Linked DNA regions of Nothobranchius furzeri. The protein of the gene in region 1 binds, or shares a complex with, the protein of each later gene. Links are inferred from orthologs where the notes say so. Each region holds a gene or a part of one and is shown on either strand. Other genes may lie near its edges.

The links.
Region 2: tubgcp2 (region 1) and tubgcp5 share a complex: the UniProt entries of both Homo sapiens proteins name them as parts of the gamma-tubulin ring complex. The link is inferred for Nothobranchius furzeri from reciprocal best matches to the Homo sapiens genes TUBGCP2 and TUBGCP5.
Region 3: tubgcp2 (region 1) and tubgcp4 share a complex: the UniProt entries of both Homo sapiens proteins name them as parts of the gamma-tubulin ring complex. The link is inferred for Nothobranchius furzeri from reciprocal best matches to the Homo sapiens genes TUBGCP2 and TUBGCP4.
Region 4: tubgcp2 (region 1) and nme7 share a complex: the UniProt entries of both Homo sapiens proteins name them as parts of the gamma-tubulin ring complex. The link is inferred for Nothobranchius furzeri from reciprocal best matches to the Homo sapiens genes TUBGCP2 and NME7.
Region 5: the proteins of tubgcp2 (region 1) and tubgcp3 are in contact, whole or in part, in a cryo-EM structure (PDB 8Q62), measured with the Homo sapiens proteins. The link is inferred for Nothobranchius furzeri from reciprocal best matches to the Homo sapiens genes TUBGCP2 and TUBGCP3. Residues at the interface, in NP_006650.1 of Homo sapiens: Gln172, His173, Pro175, Ile176, Phe177, Pro178, Trp180, Arg184, Ala186, Leu187, Ile188, Gly189, Phe191, Leu222, Tyr223, Val226, Val228, Asp229, Gly230, Arg231, Glu278, Ser281, Phe283, Gln287, His290, Ala291, Ala294, Arg297, Val300, Lys301; in NP_006313.1 of Homo sapiens: Glu272, Asn273, Cys274, Ser286, Leu287, Asp289, Thr290, Val292, Arg293, Glu296, Trp299, Ser361, Thr363, Leu364, Arg365, Leu368, Val369, Tyr372, Lys375, Ile376, Lys379, Ala382, Ala383, Asp386, His387, Ala402, Tyr403, Lys405, Thr406, Gly407.

The regions. Positions count from the first base shown.
Region 1 is NC_091756.1:50,628,398-50,631,172, reverse strand, and holds the end of tubgcp2 (gamma-tubulin complex component 2), read right to left. Parts: coding exon 2,688-2,775; intron 842-2,687; coding exon 766-841; 3' UTR 507-765; downstream 1-506. UniProt on the Homo sapiens protein: Component of the gamma-tubulin ring complex (gTuRC) which mediates microtubule nucleation.
Region 2 is NC_091756.1:62,472,753-62,476,722, reverse strand, and holds the start of tubgcp5 (gamma-tubulin complex component 5), read left to right. Parts: upstream 1-1,168; 5' UTR 1,169-1,366; coding exon 1,367-1,500; intron 1,501-1,604; coding exon 1,605-1,658; intron 1,659-3,970. UniProt on the Homo sapiens protein: Component of the gamma-tubulin ring complex (gTuRC) which mediates microtubule nucleation.
Region 3 is NC_091749.1:30,388,249-30,390,893, forward strand, and holds part of tubgcp4 (gamma-tubulin complex component 4), read left to right. Parts: coding exon 1-102; intron 103-175; coding exon 176-341; intron 342-416; coding exon 417-541; intron 542-647; coding exon 648-698; intron 699-769; coding exon 770-875; intron 876-2,321; coding exon 2,322-2,429; intron 2,430-2,645. UniProt on the Homo sapiens protein: Component of the gamma-tubulin ring complex (gTuRC) which mediates microtubule nucleation.
Region 4 is NC_091756.1:61,686,936-61,690,455, forward strand, and holds part of nme7 (nucleoside diphosphate kinase homolog 7), read right to left. Parts: intron 3,519-3,520; coding exon 3,468-3,518; intron 3,326-3,467; coding exon 3,118-3,325; intron 3,011-3,117; coding exon 2,905-3,010; intron 294-2,904; coding exon 229-293; intron 1-228. UniProt on the Homo sapiens protein: Possesses an intrinsic kinase activity. Displays 3'-5' exonuclease activity with a preference for single-stranded DNA. Does not seem to have nucleoside diphosphate kinase activity.
Region 5 is NC_091754.1:48,784,646-48,788,165, forward strand, and holds part of tubgcp3 (gamma-tubulin complex component 3), read left to right. Parts: intron 1-985; coding exon 986-1,155; intron 1,156-1,318; coding exon 1,319-1,431; intron 1,432-2,323; coding exon 2,324-2,449; intron 2,450-2,521; coding exon 2,522-2,590; intron 2,591-3,520. UniProt on the Homo sapiens protein: Component of the gamma-tubulin ring complex (gTuRC) which mediates microtubule nucleation.

The DNA.
Region 1 (2,775 bases):
TTATGACGTCTTTTTAAACGAAATTTTCTAGTGCGACCTGCCTGCTTCACTTAAGTCACTGCTTATTAAGGTCCGTCCAAAATTACCGTGAGAAACGGGTAATAATGGCTCTTTGATGGGAACAGGTTGCCGACCCCTGGTATAAGATCTGAGCTGGTAAAACAAAAATCCTCATCAGCAGGCGTTTTTGAAAGTGGGGGGACACAGCTGCCAATCACAAATTTTGCCGGGGACATGTCCCCGGCGTCCCGGTTAAAATGACGCCTATGCTGGTAACCAAGGTAGAGGTGCAGAACAGGAGTGATGTGCTCACTTCTCTTGGTTCTTGATAAGACTCTTGCAGCAGCATTCTGAATAAGCTGCAGTTGCTTCACAGCTTTTTGGAAAAACCAGTCAAAAGACAAGCCTTAAATATTTTTTGTATTTTACAGTAGATGAAAATTGGCTGAAGCTTTGGGTTTTAAGATGGAGGCAGAGGATTTTGTAGTAAAAATCAAAACTCAAAGTTGGATCAGCAAAGTTTTGCTTTAATGAAATGCAAATACAGTTTTCTGCTGTACAATAAGTTACCAACATGAAGTTTCACAACTTAGAAGTTCTGAGACGAAACATAACAATAATCCTGCTGATCAAGACATTTTACACAGCAGATAATATAAAACACAATGACCCTTCAGCTGATGATCAGTGATGTTTATGAGTGACGCACAGGTAAAAAAAAAGTTTATTTTCTGAATGATTATTTATTCACAAACAGCAGAAATGTTACGCTGCAGCCTTCTGATTGCGCTCCACAGCCATCCTCTCCAACCTCTCAGTGTAGAACCCATTAAAGTCCAACCTGTGGAGCCAAATTCCATTTTGATTAAATCAACAGAAACAAATGTTACCATTGCACAAATCTTACAATTTAATCACCAACTCCTCCAAACGTTGCCTCACAATTCTTTATATTTTCTGAAACAAGCTAAACTGAGAAAGCTAGAAGGGTTTCAGACCCTCGCTGTGATTTGGTAACTTTATTTACCCAAACATGGTCAACGAATGCACATTAAGAACACTCAGGAACATCTCGAGACTTTTTGGAGACTCCTTCATGAATGCTGTTTGCAGCAGACTAGTGAGAGCATGGCTTTAGATAGATCCCATGTTACCACACCTCTACAAGGTGGATGTGGTGTGAAAAACCAAATATTTACATTTTGTTTATGAAACACTAAATCATTGAACATCCTCTTACTAAGACACTTCAAATCAATGTAACTGACGAAAACTTCAGCTAATAAAAACACCATTATTCACTTCTCGCTGACACTAGGTCTGTGTCTCAATTCAGGGTCTGCATCCTTCGACGGCCGGATTCGTCGGCCAGTTACGTCACAGCGCCGCGACTAGGCCTGTCCCAATTTGAAGACTCCTTCAAATGCGGTCGACGAATCCGGCCTTCTTTTCGCCTGAATGAAGGATGGGTCCGGTGTATCCTTCAATGGTTTACATTTCCCAAGATGCTTTGCGGGCAGGATGGCAGAACTTTTAAAAACAATGGCGGACAGTGAAGCGGGAGCTGTCGGAGAGGATTGCACATATAAATGTCAGTATAAACTAGAAAACTGTTAGGTTAAGGGCTTTTTGTGATACATGAACGTTATTTTAGTTAGAAATGTTACAGTAAAAGTGCTTGTACTGCGGTCTCGGCTCGTATGTTCGGCCGCTCGGTGTCGTACTTCTCCCGCTACGTTTCCCCCTGATTTTAATAGAAGTTTGTATTTTAGGGACAAAAGAGAAAACCAGGGAATTTATTAAGCTTAGGGCAGAGATGGACCACATGATCACCGGAGCAAAGTATTCGGCGGCTGTGGAGGTACAATAACATCTCATATTTTAAAAACTGTCGTTTAGTTTTTTTCTGCAAAAACATGAAAGGAATAACCCGTTGTCCTCTTTTCTCTTCCTGTTTTTTCCTACATGTTTGTTAAGACTATTCTGGAGAAAATGGGCATCCAGGGGAAGGTGACAGCGATGACCAGCTTCTGGAGCTGATCAGGGAGGACTTGAGGCTGCAGAGGGAGGCAGAGCAGCAGAGGGCAGGAGAGAAGGGAGAACTTTGACAGCTTTTTAGTTTGCTAGAAAAAATGGTTACGAAAGATTAAACATGTACATATAAAAGAAATATCTAAATAAAATCTATTCTGTATTAAACTTAAATTTTATTTTTGTTTACAAATGAGAATTGTTTCATATTACAGGGTATCAGCTGGGTCTTGAAAAGTCTTAAAAGGTGATAAATCGGTTTTGGTCAAATTGAGACCCTTAGAAAGTATTAAAAACTATTATCACATCTTTGCTCAGGCTCAGCTTGTCGAAAGTATTTTCTCTGAATTAGCTCTCCAACAGTCAAGGAAATGATTAAAAAGCTAAATAAAACTTCGAGCTCCATCGTTTAAAGTTCCTTCTCCCTCCTGCTCAGCGGTTCCACGGTTGCTAGGCGACGGAACGTTCGCCGAGGGAGTGGCAGGAATTCATGAAGGCTAGGCCTGTCCAAATTCACAGCCGTTAACATCCGGTCTACCCGGCCGACGGAGGACTCAGCCCACGTCGGCCGAGTAGGCTGGGTCCTTCGAAGGATGCAGACCCTGAATTGAGACACAGCGAAGCTCTTCCTGCACCTTAGGGTTCCAAATGATTACCTGTAGATGATGCTGATCATGCTGTGCTCACAGTCGTTGGTGCTGTAGATGCTCAGCTTGTCCAGCAGGTCGAGCAGCAGCAGGCCGA
Region 2 (3,970 bases), about 12 Mb from region 1:
TAAATATTCTTCACATTTTCCACAAATATCAACATTTCATTTAAAGAAACATTATTCTTCCAGCAAATTATTTTTTGAACCTACTAATAGAAAAAAATATTTTAAGTGACAACAAATCTCTTTTAGTCGATATTTATGGAAGGTATAAAAAAGTCTGCCTTTTATTTGATAAAAAAGGTCAGAATTCTGACTTCAACCTCCCAAGGCCTGAATTTGTATTTGGTGTGAAAAAAGAAAGAAAAAGAAACATTTTTAAAACTTAATCAAAATCAAGTGTCTCTAAATCATATCTTTTAAAAAGGTCTAAGTTGAAGAGAATGAAATATAATGCAAGAAGAAGTCAATGTCACATATGTGGACACAGGGTCTCATTTGGATTATTTCCTTAGGGCTTATTTTTGGGATTCTGTGAAAAAGAGAGAACCATTTTTTGGTGTCGTTGATGTATTGAAATGATATTTTTTATACTTTTATTTACAGTAAATTACAAAAATCTTTTTTCAGCTTAATTTAAAACGATTAAAGGGATTTTGTAATTATATTCTGATTCCTCTTTTTTCTTTATTCACATTGTAGGTGGATGGACCTGCATTCATCTTTAATGAAGACCCCTGGAATGTGTTTAAACCAATTAAATATTGATCAGTTTCAGAGGACAAACTTTAAGAATAATTGCTTTTATAGTTTAATCAGTAAATTATCATTTATTGCAATTTATACCTTTTGAAATATGCTATTCTTGATTTAAGAACGTGTTATAACCAATGCAGTCATTTAAGACATACGGGGGATGGCTGGACCAATAATTTACTAATGTGATCTCTCACACATATGGCAATAAACCCTTCTCGTTCTGATTCTGAAAAGGGATTAATTAAGATGAGATGGTGGGCGTGGCTATAAGCATGGGGTTAATCAATCAAACAAACCAATGAATGATTTTGAAATACAAATTATGAGTTTAATATTGTTTGATTTAAGAAGAAGGGATGTATTTGACCAGCAGAAATGCAAATTTTGATACTCGAAAAATGTAAACGGGTGCGTGCTTTTTTATATGATACAACAGCCTTCCATACAACATAACATTTCAACGAACAAGAAGGAAATAAAGCGTTGACTTTTTTTCAGTGGTACGCATGCGCACCATTGTATGTTTCGATGACGCGGTAGTGGAGGAATCAATGGACCTAACAGTCAATGTAGCGCCTCAGTTTTTGTACATTTGCAATAACGATTTCAACGTTGTTCTTCAAGTCTTATATTTTGAAAAGTTATCCAATAGTTTGCAAGAGTGAGCCAGGCGGTTCCATGCAGGCTAACGCTTGGGGCTAATTCTTGTAGCACAACCAGCAGCTGGAACACCATGGCACACTGGAGCACCTTTGAAAAGGAGACGGAGAAAGAAACCAAGAAGTTAATCAGATCTATCAGCAAGATTGAAGATGAGGAGGACCAAAATTTCCAGTCTGCGCTGAAATTTACGTGGTCAAATTTCAAGTAAGTTAGCCACCGGAAGCAAGCATGTTGTTAGCTGCTAACAAAAGTGTAGCTAACTCAAAGAAGGGCTGCTGTTTACCGCCTGCTTTAATTTCCTCTGTCAGATTTCATCGTTATTTGGACGTCGACAGTCATAAAGTTCAACGCAGTATAAGTGGGTGAGTGCGTTTTGCTGCTCTTGTTTCCTTCCGGTTGTATTATGTTTCATTTGATTTATTTTAGGGAAATGTGAGTCTAATGGACGGATGTGATCTGGACAGGTGAAGCTCTTAAAAGCCACTTTACAGATCAATACAAGCCTGTTGGTGAATATATATATATATATATATATATATATATATATATATATATATATATATATGAGATGCTAAACATAGCTGATAAAGTCTGAATAATAGGGCCTTTTTGGTTCGATTTGTTGACTTTATAATAAACAACAGCATAAACAGTCTTTGGTTCTGGTTCATTGTAATTTACTGCCAGTGGCTGTAAAGCATCTTCGTTTGGAATAGTTTCATTATGTTGTTTTACTAAGATGACTACTACAGGTAGATCCACCTGATTTAACATTTTTGTATCTTGCACAGTTTTTTGTTGATTGTGTTTAATGCAATATGTTGTTTTAATATTCTGTAGCTGTACTCGTTTGGCTGAATCACAAAACACTCATCTCAAATTGATCTGTATTCAAACAGGAAAGAAGTCAATTCTTGTTTAATTCAGAAATGCATCCGAAAAAAAGCTGGTTATTAGAATTAGCCCATATTTTCTATGGTTTTTCATATAATTTTCAATAATTATTGATATCAATCAATAAGATTTTTTTATTGATTGGAATTTTTTCTATATCGTCCAGTCCTAATATATATACATAATTTTTTAGCTTGTTGTCTGTATAAAAGACACCTGTCCACACCTTAAAACCATCAGACTTATACCTCCACCATGGCCAAGACCTTAGAGCTGTCTAAGGACACCAGGGACAAGACTGTACACCTGCAAAAGACTCGATGAGCCAATCTACAATTGGCATCAAGCTCTTACTTCATGGGGTACTAATGATCTTGAGAGAATGGTGAAACAGCCCAGAACTACACTAGGGGGTGGTTAATGACCTGAAGAGAGCTGAGACCACAGTGACAAAGGTTACTATTACTAACACACTACATTGACATGAATTAAAATTCCGTAATGCTCTTAAGTCCCCCTGCTCAGAACAGCACATGTCCAGGGGTCTCATTTATCAAACATGGCGCAGAATCCTTACTAAAACCGTACTTAAGCTCAGCAAAAATATGTACTTACGCCAAGCAGGTGTGTGATCTATCAAACATGGAGGACTCACAGCTGCACGCAACCTCCACTTCATAAATCTGAGACTTATGAGAATGTTTCTCAGCTGCATTTTAGTCACATCCTGCCCTCACCACGCCCACCTATTGCCATAAATGGTCAATGCAAAGTGCCTTGTGGATCTCATGCATATACATAAGCCGGCTGTTGCAGCGCTCCGCCAATGACATGGCGACCGTAGATCAAGGCAGATCAAGGAAGCGCTATTTCACAGAAGCAGAAGTTGAGGTACCTGTGGGTGAGGTGGAGAAATGAAAGGAAGTGCTTTTGCAAAACAAATAAGAGAAAATCCACAGAGTGGCACAGCGTTGCTGAAGCCGTCAATGCTGACTTCTTCAGAGAGATCTGTGGCGGGTATAAAAAAAATGATACGATCGGGATTCGATCCCCAGACTCCTGGATGAAAGTCACGCGCACTAACCAGTCACCCAAACAGAGATCTCCCCTGTACAAGTAGCCAGGGCGCATGATCGATCGGGTCACAGTGACAGGACACACACTGTCACACACGCATGATGTTCTGTCTCAATCTGTCCCCCTGCTGATATTCTGTATTCTGCGCTTCAGGCTGTGTGTGTGTGTGTGTGTGTGTGTGTGGGGGGGGGGGGGGGGGTCTTGTTCTGTGTGAAAATGAAGCAGTACAAGTGATAATGCTGCAGGATTTCATCAGTTTATCCTTCTCAGCAGCAGCACTGCAGGTGCTCTCCATGTCCAGCATGTGTGTAAGCCAGGTCCTTAGTCATCTTAAAGTTGTGCACGTTTTTCAGCCAAGTTTTCTTTCATAAATCCCAAAGTTTGCGTGGAAAGTTGCTTACGCTGTTTTCCAACCCCATTTTGTGCGTAAGCTAGCTTGATGAATGAGGCCCCAGTCCGTCTGAAGTGTGCCAGCCAGAGACCACCGGGATGATCCAGAGAAGGATCAGGAAATTCAGATGGGAGCAAAACAGAACTGTTTGGAACTTGCTGTGTTTGGAGGAGGAAGAATGCTGAGTTGCATTCCAAGAACACCATTACCTCTGTGAGTCAGGGGGAAAAATTATATTTTGAGGCTGATTTTCTGCAAAGGGGACAGGACTGATCTGTATTCAGGAAAATGGGGCCGTGTATCATGAGATTT
Region 3 (2,645 bases), on another chromosome or scaffold:
GGTCCCAGTGCAGGAGGTGCTGCTGCCAGCCAGGACGAGGAGGAGGAGGACCTGGGTCTGGGAGGTTTAAGTGGCAAGCAGCTCAGAGAATTACAGGACCTGGTGAGGCCGGTTAAAGTCCTTCATCAGTCCGTGGATAGGGTCTGTCTAACAGCGTTTACTCTAATGTCTTCAGAGGCTGATCGAGGAGGAGAACATGCTGGCTCCATCACTCCAGCAGTTCTCTCTGCGAACAGAGATGCTGCCATCTTATATCCCCATCAGGGTGGCTGAGAAGATCCTGTTTGTTGGAGAATCTGTTCAAATGTTTGAAAATCACAACCACAGCCCGTCCAGAGCCGGTACTTCATATATATGTGGAGTCTAGCGCCCGCTTATTAGTGACCCTCAAACACATCTTTGTCCTTTTGTTTTAGGCTCCATATTAAAGCACCAGGAGGACCTTTTTGCTGCTGAGCTACACAGACTCAAACAGCAGCCGCTGTTCAGCCTGGTGGACTTTGAGAATTTAATCGATCGAATCAGGAGCACAGTGGCAGAGGTGAGCACCAGCATCGCTGCATTACTTTACTCGGTTAAATAAAAACACAAGTTGGCGGGGACGGCGCTGTAAAACGTAACCCTGGTCCTATTGTTTTGATCTGCAGCACCTGTGGACGTTGATGGTGGAGGAGGCAAATCTGCTGGAACAGCTCAAGGTTTTTCATTTCGTAATTGTTTGTTGAACTCGGATATGCGCTGTGCTGACGATGTTTGTGATCTCCTCCAGATCGTTAAGGATTTCTACCTGCTGGGTCGTGGCGAGCTCTATCAGGTGTTCATTGACCTTGCTCAGCACATGTTGAAGACTCCTCCAACAGCAGTCACCGAGCACGGTAAACATGTCTGCACAGATCTCACTCACCTCTGGGTGTTTTTATTTTACCTGGTGTTAAATCATATCATATGCATTCTGTATACATGAAATATTTTACAGAATTATGATCCATAGCAAACTTTCTTGAGACAACCAGTTCCTCTCATTTGGGTGTTTTCTCTGAGGAAGGAGTTCAGACAGTGGTGGTTAGATGCCAGAGGGGTCTCCTCCTCTTCATCAGATCATAATCGGGTTCATCGTTTTACAGAGGAAGACTCAGACCCTGTAGATGAAGAGCTGTTTTTGACCTCCTAAACTGGTGTACCTGTAAATGTTTCACAAATAAACGTGTAGTCGGTTGTTTGTTTAGACTGTCAATCATTTTTTTGACGCTTTCACGAAAGGCTGTCGTCGTGCGTTCTTGGTGCTGGGTAGTTTTCACTTCCTGCGCATTCTGTCTATGTGCAGAGTGATCCGCTTTTATTCCTCGTCGTTCTCACCGGGTTCTTTTGAAAATGGCCGAGAGTCGCAAGAGGAGAAGTGTCTCTGAAGTCGGGCCCTAGAAATAAGATCAGAATCTTTTTTTAGGAGACTCTTTCCAACGATGGCGTACGCTTAAAGCGAAGGTTGGCCTCCCCCCAGACACCTCTGTTGCTGGTTTTCTGCTCGACGGGTAAGCTGAAGTTCGGCGTGCTGTTTGGAGGAATTAATTTCAGATTACTGCTAGAAGAAGCGCTGCAAGGCCGGCAGCAACTTATAAACAGAGTGTGCATTTTTTTCTAAACAGACCCTGCATCCAGACCAAATGCCTGAACCGCCTCAGCTGGCTCCTATTAACACGGAGGAGCAGCGGCTCCGCTGTTTGCTCCTCCCTCTCAACGGCTGAGCCCAACCTCCCTGCTAAGGAAACTCCTTATAGCCGCTTGTGTTCATGATCTTGTTTCTGGCATTACTCAGCGCTAATGGCCAAAAGTCAGGATCGAGATGAAGATCACCTTCACTGTCTGGCTTAACGCTTTCTTCACCTCAACTGACCAGTTCAGCATCCACACCACTGCAGACGTGTGCCCTGATCTCCTGCTCCCTCCTTCACTCACTCCAGAATATTCTGTGAAACAAACCATTTAGTTGACTTGTTTTCAATTCTCTTTAGAAAATTCTAATTCATTTAGAGGAGGTTTTGGCCTTGTTTTGTGTGGCTGACCCAGTTTTTTTTAGTCTGTGCAGAGACCGAGATGTTTGCCTGTTTAAGCCGCTTGGGTCACCTTACAGCTAATAAGAGACAACAGAAGCACAGAGTCGCCCTCACCTTCTGATTTAGCTCTAGTGGGTTGTGACCAAAAAGTCATTGTACACCTGGGCTTCCACCATCTGCTGGTTTCTGTTGATGAAAAGTGTCTGAATTTGTGTTCACTACTAGCAGCAGTCATGGATTTCATGTGCTGAGACTGTTTTCTCCTTCCAGACGTGAACGTGGCGTTCCAGCAGGCTGCTCATAAGGTGCTGCTGGACGACGACAACCTGCTGCCTCTGCTGCATCTAACTGTGGACTACCAGGGCAAAGAGAGCAAAGGTTCACTTGTTTTTTATATTAAGGTCATGAAGGAAAATAAAAGAGGGAAAAAAAATCAGCCTTGGGGAATTTAGAGGCGGAGAAATGGCTCATGTGCCCTTTTAGAAGATGTTATTGTTGTGTACATGTGTGATCTAAAGTTTCTCTGTTGCAAACATGCGTTACATGTTTGTTGAAAAATATGAACTAATAATGGTGATGGTGAGTGTTTGTGGA
Region 4 (3,520 bases), about 11 Mb from region 1:
CCTAGAAAGTGGTGTATAAATACAGGCCATTAACCATTTGTTACAACAGACTGAAATGAAGGGATTTTATTCCACCTAATGGACCCTAACCCTTTCACAGTAACACTGAGCAGCTTGTTAGTTCTACAGCATCGATCTGTGGGAAGCATGAAGAGTCGCTGTTAAAGCGCTAGAGTTTACAGACCTTACTCATTTCATGTGAAACAAACACAGAAAAATAATAATCACCATTCCAAGAGCTGAGATCTCAAATCCAGCTGCAGATATGGAGTTAAGAATCTTCCCAGTCAGCCCTGTGAACACATGATGCTCATCAGTCTTTATGAGCCGAGTTTACACAGAAGGACAAACACGGTATTTTAGTGCTGCAGCAATCTCAGATGTCGTCCAGATCAAATAACACCTGAATCCACTGCTGCAGTGAAGCATCTGACTATCGTGAAGTCCGGATGCATCACTACTGAACGTGCTTCTGCTCAGACATCAGCGGTACATCTCAGTGCACTGACCTCAGTCTGTCCTCTGGACAGAGTGAGATAGTCTCGCTGATGTGTTGTCTATCGAGGGAAAGCATTTTTGTCCAGGCAACCTTTTAGGAAACGAGATAGTGAACTGTACATCCCATCAAAGAGCTGGGTCTTTGCTGTAGAAGTGGTGCAGCTGCAGTGACTCTGAAGGTCAGACTGCTGCAGACACACAATTGAATCAAGGCGCCAGTCTCGTAATCTCAGTCTGATAAAAAGTAGCTTGTGTACCTGTCACCCAGGACGGTTTTCATTAACTCTAAATGCTGCAGCGCAGACGTTCAATAGGAACCAGGCGTAGCCGCCGTCTGTGGATCTCTCCCTCCCTACGTCACAGTCCAGTTATGTGCACTAGGTAATAGCCTGAGTCCTTTGTGCCCTCCCCAGGACTGCACAGGTTCCACACACTCCTCGCAGCGCCACAAAGCAGCTGCTGCTGTTGCTAGGAGATACTATTCCAGGAGCCTGGCAACAGAAGCTTCTCTATTCCGGTCATGTCTGAGTGAATTTTCACTCACAGCGTCCTTCATGGCCACGGTGACAGGCCGTCTTGACGACATAAATGAGCTACTGAAGAGATTTCTGAGGGGAGATCAGAGCAGAGCTTTTTGTCGACCTCAGCTGGACAAATCATTCAGCCTGGTTTCTATTCTTGGCTCGGACCAAATATATCACGGCTCTGAAGGTAAACAGTGTGGGAGTCACTTCTAGCAGTGAAACTGACGCCTGAGTAGGAGCTTTGAAGTTTTAACAATGCCACACTTTCTGAGAGATAACTGATTCGTTTTAACTGAACTGTTTTAAGAAGCGCCAAACTTCTTGTAGCACATCAAACACATCAGCTTAAGCGAGACATTGTTTAAGATATGTTCTGCTACGGATCAGCGTTCATGGTTCCATCATTTACAGGAAGTGGCCCAGGTCCTGCAGCAGCAAAACTGCCCCAGACCATCATACCACCATCACCATGCTTCACTGTTGGAATGAGGATACTTCACTGAAATGAAGTGTTAGTTTTACACTAAATGTAATGTGAGATGAGTCTTATGGATTATTACGGTCAGTAGAACCTCTCTGTCGCCATGGTTGATTCATGACCTCTGACCTTAATGAGGTCTGCAGTGCTTTGGTGATGTTGGGTTCTTTAGACCAGAGCATGGAGATCTTTTAGCCTACTTCATGTTGTTGGACAGGTTCTGTTGAAGTTAGTGGCAGTAAGCAGGCCTGGGTGTGGCTGGTGAAACTCACCCCAGCTCTACAAATATGTTTAATCACAAATAAATCAGGACGTAACATGGGGAGCAATTATTGTTCCACATAAAACTACTTTTTTTAAATTTATTTGGACCCCCTAATGAAGGAAACCTTCATTTGAAAACGCCGGGGTTTGATAAAAAGTTTATATACGAGCACAGAGCACTATCACTGTGACCTGTCAGGAATGATTAACACAGCCAACAACCACCGGTATTCACTGAGCAAATGTTGAAATCCATGCGTTCGGACCGAGCTGGTTTATCACCGCGGCTCGTTGCAAGCTTAACTGTTGCTCAACGGTGCCTTGCAGACAAACAAAGCATGCCCACTTGTATTCTCTCTCACCGCCTCCTTTCTCAAGCCAAAGATTTGAACGTGCCCTAGCAGGCTAAGCGTGGCTGTAACTGCAGAAATAACAAAAGTGGGCGATCTGTTCTGTTTAGGTGCAGCATGAAGGCAGGCCAGAGAGCAGCGGTGCACAGATACACCATGGCTTTATTATCGCCCAGAGGCAGTGGACGGAAATAAGCCTTGCTTTCACAAAACCTTTATAATGAATCATTTTGTCGGTTTTTTTTTCTGACTTTTCTGACTCTGGGGAATACAGCAATAAACTCAATTTCACTTAGGGGTGGAAAATCCCTTTAAGTTTATTTCAGGGACCATTGAGAGCGTTTCCATCGTAAATGCAAGGGTACATGAATTTATACATGTATGTGCAATATAATGTCACGCTGGCTCAAACTGAAACATAAAGACAGTCAGATACCAGAGAAATGATGAAACTCAAGATACAACAAGATATTAGTGGATCTGTAGTTATTACTGTATGTTCTCTGCTGTAAGTGCAGAACAAAAGCTGGGGTCCACCTCCAGTCAACAGCTTTCTGTGTGCAAACATCAGCTCTGCACAGAATTTCACATTTCACAGCTCAGAGCTCTGGTGGCATGCCCCGGGAGCAGGGATCAGCACTGGGATTTGGAAAAATCCAAGGCCATTTTGGAAACCACATGGTGGCTTTGTTGGGGAGGGGGGGGGGAAACAAGCCAGCAGCACAGGAACTCAAAATAACAAAATACAAATAAAAGTGAGATATTTTGCCATGCCTGAGTGACTCCTTACCTGCTGATACAGCGTGGGGTTTGATGATACAACAAGTGCAGTCTGTGAACAGGGCTGTGTTGGAGGGGCCATGGCCGACCGTGGAAGGAAAAAAGAATTCCAGCTCCTTACAAAAACAAACACACAAACTTTAATGATCATGACCGTTCCAGGAAGTGCGATTCTCAGACTACTGAAGGCACAAGAGAGCGAGAACAAAGTCAAAATCCTCACTCTTGCTGCTACAGCTATGGAGTCAGAGCCATGGGCCACATTTTTGATGGCGTCTGTTCCAAACTGTGCACGGATGCTCTGTGGCGCCTCTGTTAACGCCACAGCAGAGTCTGCAGGTCCCAGGAGCTCCCTCCAGATCGACAGGGCCTTGTCACCCACCAGCTCCATGGCAACCACTGGCCCAGAGGACATGAAGTGCACCAGCGCACTGCAAAACAGAGTCACGTTGGAGCTGATTTGAATTTAAAAAACTCTAAAATGTCACCATCACAGGTTGTGGTCGGAGTGCTAGATGGCAATCACAACCCTTCTCTGCTCAGAACTGGGAGATCATTTACACGAGCACTCACCTGAAGAAAGGCTTTGACTGATGTTCCACGTAAAAGTCTTCCGCTTGGCTCCT
Region 5 (3,520 bases), on another chromosome or scaffold:
AGTCTCATTACGGTCAGGGTCTCAGTCTCGTTACGGTCTCAGTCTTTTTACGGTCTCGGTCTCGTTACGGTCTCTGTCTCATTACGGTCAGGGTCTCGGTCTCGTTAGGGTCTCATTCTTGTTGTGGTCTTGTTGCGGTCTCTGTCTCGTTACGGTCTCGGTCTTGTTACGGTCTCTGTCTCGTTACGGTCTCGGTCTTGTTGCGGTCAGGGTCTCTGTCTCGTTACGGTCTCTGTCTCGTTACGGTCTCAGTCTTGTTGCGGTCCGGGTCTCGGTCTCATTACGGTCTCCGTCACTTTCGGCGAATATTTAAAAGATGGAGCCTATTTCTGTCGGCCTCTGCAGGTCTGCCGGAAAGCGCTTTTGGTGACGTGTCATGGCGTTGCACGTCTTCGTACTGACGCAGAAGGAGACGTGGACATCAGGCTTGAGAGGTTTTTGAAAACATCAAAGGTTTGGCTGCGTTTGTGAAAGCAACCAGCAGCAGAGCAGAGCTGATCTAAAAACACCAGCATGACTCGACTCTGAGTCCACGACCTGCCTCAGGCTCATTTTTCTGAAGTTAACTTGCTGCGACTCGTGTTTACAATGTAGTTCATTTACTCTTGTTTATACAGAACGTTTATTTCTTTATTTGGGATCTAAACTTTGTCGGTTTCAGGTTTTCAGAGACCAGAGTCGATGTTTCATGTCTCTGGCACCAAAGGACAGATAACAGCTTTCACTCTGTTAACTTTAGTTTTGCTCTAAGAGTAAAATAATTCCTAATTTTTATTGTTTTATACAGATATTTCAATTTTGTGTCTTATTCTGGTTCTAAAAAGGAAGATATTTGTTTGCTTTAATAAACATTTAAGTGTTTTTTTTCTCTCTCAATAGATTTAGAAATAGAAATACTAAATCTATTTCTCTGTGGAGCCTCTTAGTTTAGTCGCGTTTTGCTCAGATTCTCCAGATTAATCTAGAACCCTTTCTGTGTCTTCAGTCAGTCTTCAGCTGGAGCCACGCAACCTCTGGGCTCTCGGTTAGCCTGGGCACTTCCTGTAAGCTCCTCCCCTTCATCTGCTCTGGCCCCGCCCACATCCAGACCACCCCTCGGGCCTGCGGTTCTGTCCAGCAGGCTGGTCCGTCCTCGACGGGACGGCGACGCAGCTGGTGAATGACTACAGTTGTTGTTAATCACTAAATAAGTTATTGTTAAATTAAAAAGAACACTTTATTTCTACTTATTTTACCAACTTTTCCAGGTTTTTAAGTTCCTTTCTCAGAGAACTACTGTTCAGTTTTAATGTTGATCGCCCATCTTCCACCCGTGCAGATGAGGTGAGCGAGGCGGCGCTGGTGCGGGACATCCTCTACGTCTTCCAGGGAATCGACGGCAAATTCATCAAGATGAACGCTCAGGAAAACGGCTACAAAATGGACAGCAAGGTACGTTCTCCGAGGCCGAGGTGACCCCGCTGGGATTAAACCGTTGCTGCTAATTGCACTTTCAGCCGATCGATGCGAGGCTTTTTGGCGCTGAAACGCATCAGCTGGAGCTTTTTCTGGCCTGTCGATTCCTTTTGTTCCACGTCGTTCCGGACCGGTGCTGCTAAACTTAGATTCATGGTCGGAGTTTTCCATCAGGACAGGAGCCGGAGAGGATAGTTGAGTCAAGGATGAAGATATTTTGGAGTTCCCATCCCCACTTAACCTCCCTGGAGAAAACGTTAAGAGGATAAAAATTTAATGCAACATTAAGAGTGAATTATTCTCGCCTTTCCGGTTACGCTGATGGAAAACTACGGCCGTTTCCACCCACACGCCAAAGCTTTAGCTTTTTCGTTTTATTACTGTTGGGAAGTCACTGCAGAATTTACACGGTTAAGTTATTTCTAATTAATCATAACGGGAGTTTTCTGCTTTAAAGTTCAGCAGAGAAATGCATCTAAATGATTTTGGGTCTGTTTTAGTTTCCAATTTCTGTAAAAGTTATGAACAATTTCTATTTTAAATGATTTTTAAGTAATTTTTAGTTTAGTAAATTCTAACATATTTTAGATTCACACAACAAATCCTGGCCTGAGGCTAACAGTCATAAATGAATGAGCTGGATGAGGATTTAGTCGGCTGTAGCTGCTTTAGACGTTATCTACTACAAGTAATATTTATAAAGACGCAGGTATGTTTCTCTGAGGGAATCGTTTCACCTTAAAAATATATAAAAACTGCTGATTTTAGTAGTTTTGACCTTTTCTAAATGATAAACGGGAAACGTGTCCACTCTTCAGGTCTAGACTCAGTCATCAGGATTCAGAGCACTTCTGTTTCCAACCTCTAGGTGGTGCTATGCAGGTCCCTCAGGGACACCAGCAGCAGACTGGCTGAACTGGGCTGGCTCCATAACAAAGTTAGGAAGTACACCGACGCCAGGAGCCTGGATCGGGCCTTCGGATTGGTCGGACAGGTGAGTCGTCGTTGCCTGGTTGTGTTTTTCACTCCTGTACACCTGTTGATGCTCACCTGTGTTTTTCCCCAGAGCTTCTGCGCCTCCCTTCACCAGGAGCTGAAAGAGTACTACAGGCTCCTCTCTGTCCTCCACTCACAGGTAATATTCCTTATGGCTGACATGCTTTTATTTTGGTAACCTGTCTTATCCATGGCCCGCGGGGGGGGGGGGGGGGGGGGGGGGGGGGGGGCTTCCACTTTGAGGAAAATTCAAACGGAATAAAAAATGAAACATGTAAAGTTGTGGAATTAGTCAAAATCCAGATGTAATCCAATCTGGATTTGCTGATAATCTGTGTTTTTCACTCTTTACAGTAAAGTTCACCAAGATTGAGAGATTAGAGATGCACCCATTCAAATGTTGAGATCCTGATGTTGAAGAAAGTTCTAGATCAGGTATCAGGAAAATGGGTTTGATCTGTGCTGAGAGCTGAGAGAGACATCACACGCTAGCGAGTCACCTCTCAAAGGCTCACGTTGTTTTCAGATTGGAGCAAACTAAAGAAACCGCGCACTGGAGCGTTCTCACGCCACCTCAGCCACCTCAGGTGTCGGTATCGGACGATACTAAACATCATGTGCCGGTATCGGACGATACTAAACCTCAGGTGTCGGTATCGGACGATGCTAAACCTCAGGTGTCGGTATCGGACGATGCTAAACCTCAGGTGTCGGTATCGGACGGTACTAAACCTCAGGTGCCGGTTTCGGACGATACTAAACCTCAGGTGCCGGTATCGGACGATACTAAACCTCAGGTGCCGGTATCGGACGGTACTAAACCTCAGGTGCCGGTTTCGGACGATACTAAACCTCAGGTGTCGGTATCGGACGGTACTAAACCTCAGGTGCCGGTTTCGGACGATACTAAACCTCAGGTGCCGGTATCGGACGATACTAAACCTCAGGTGCCGGTATCGGACGATACTAAACCTCAGGTGTCTGTATCGGACGATACTAACCCTCAGGTGTCTGTATCGGACGATACTAAACCTCAGGTGTCTGTATCGGACGATACTAAAACTCAGGT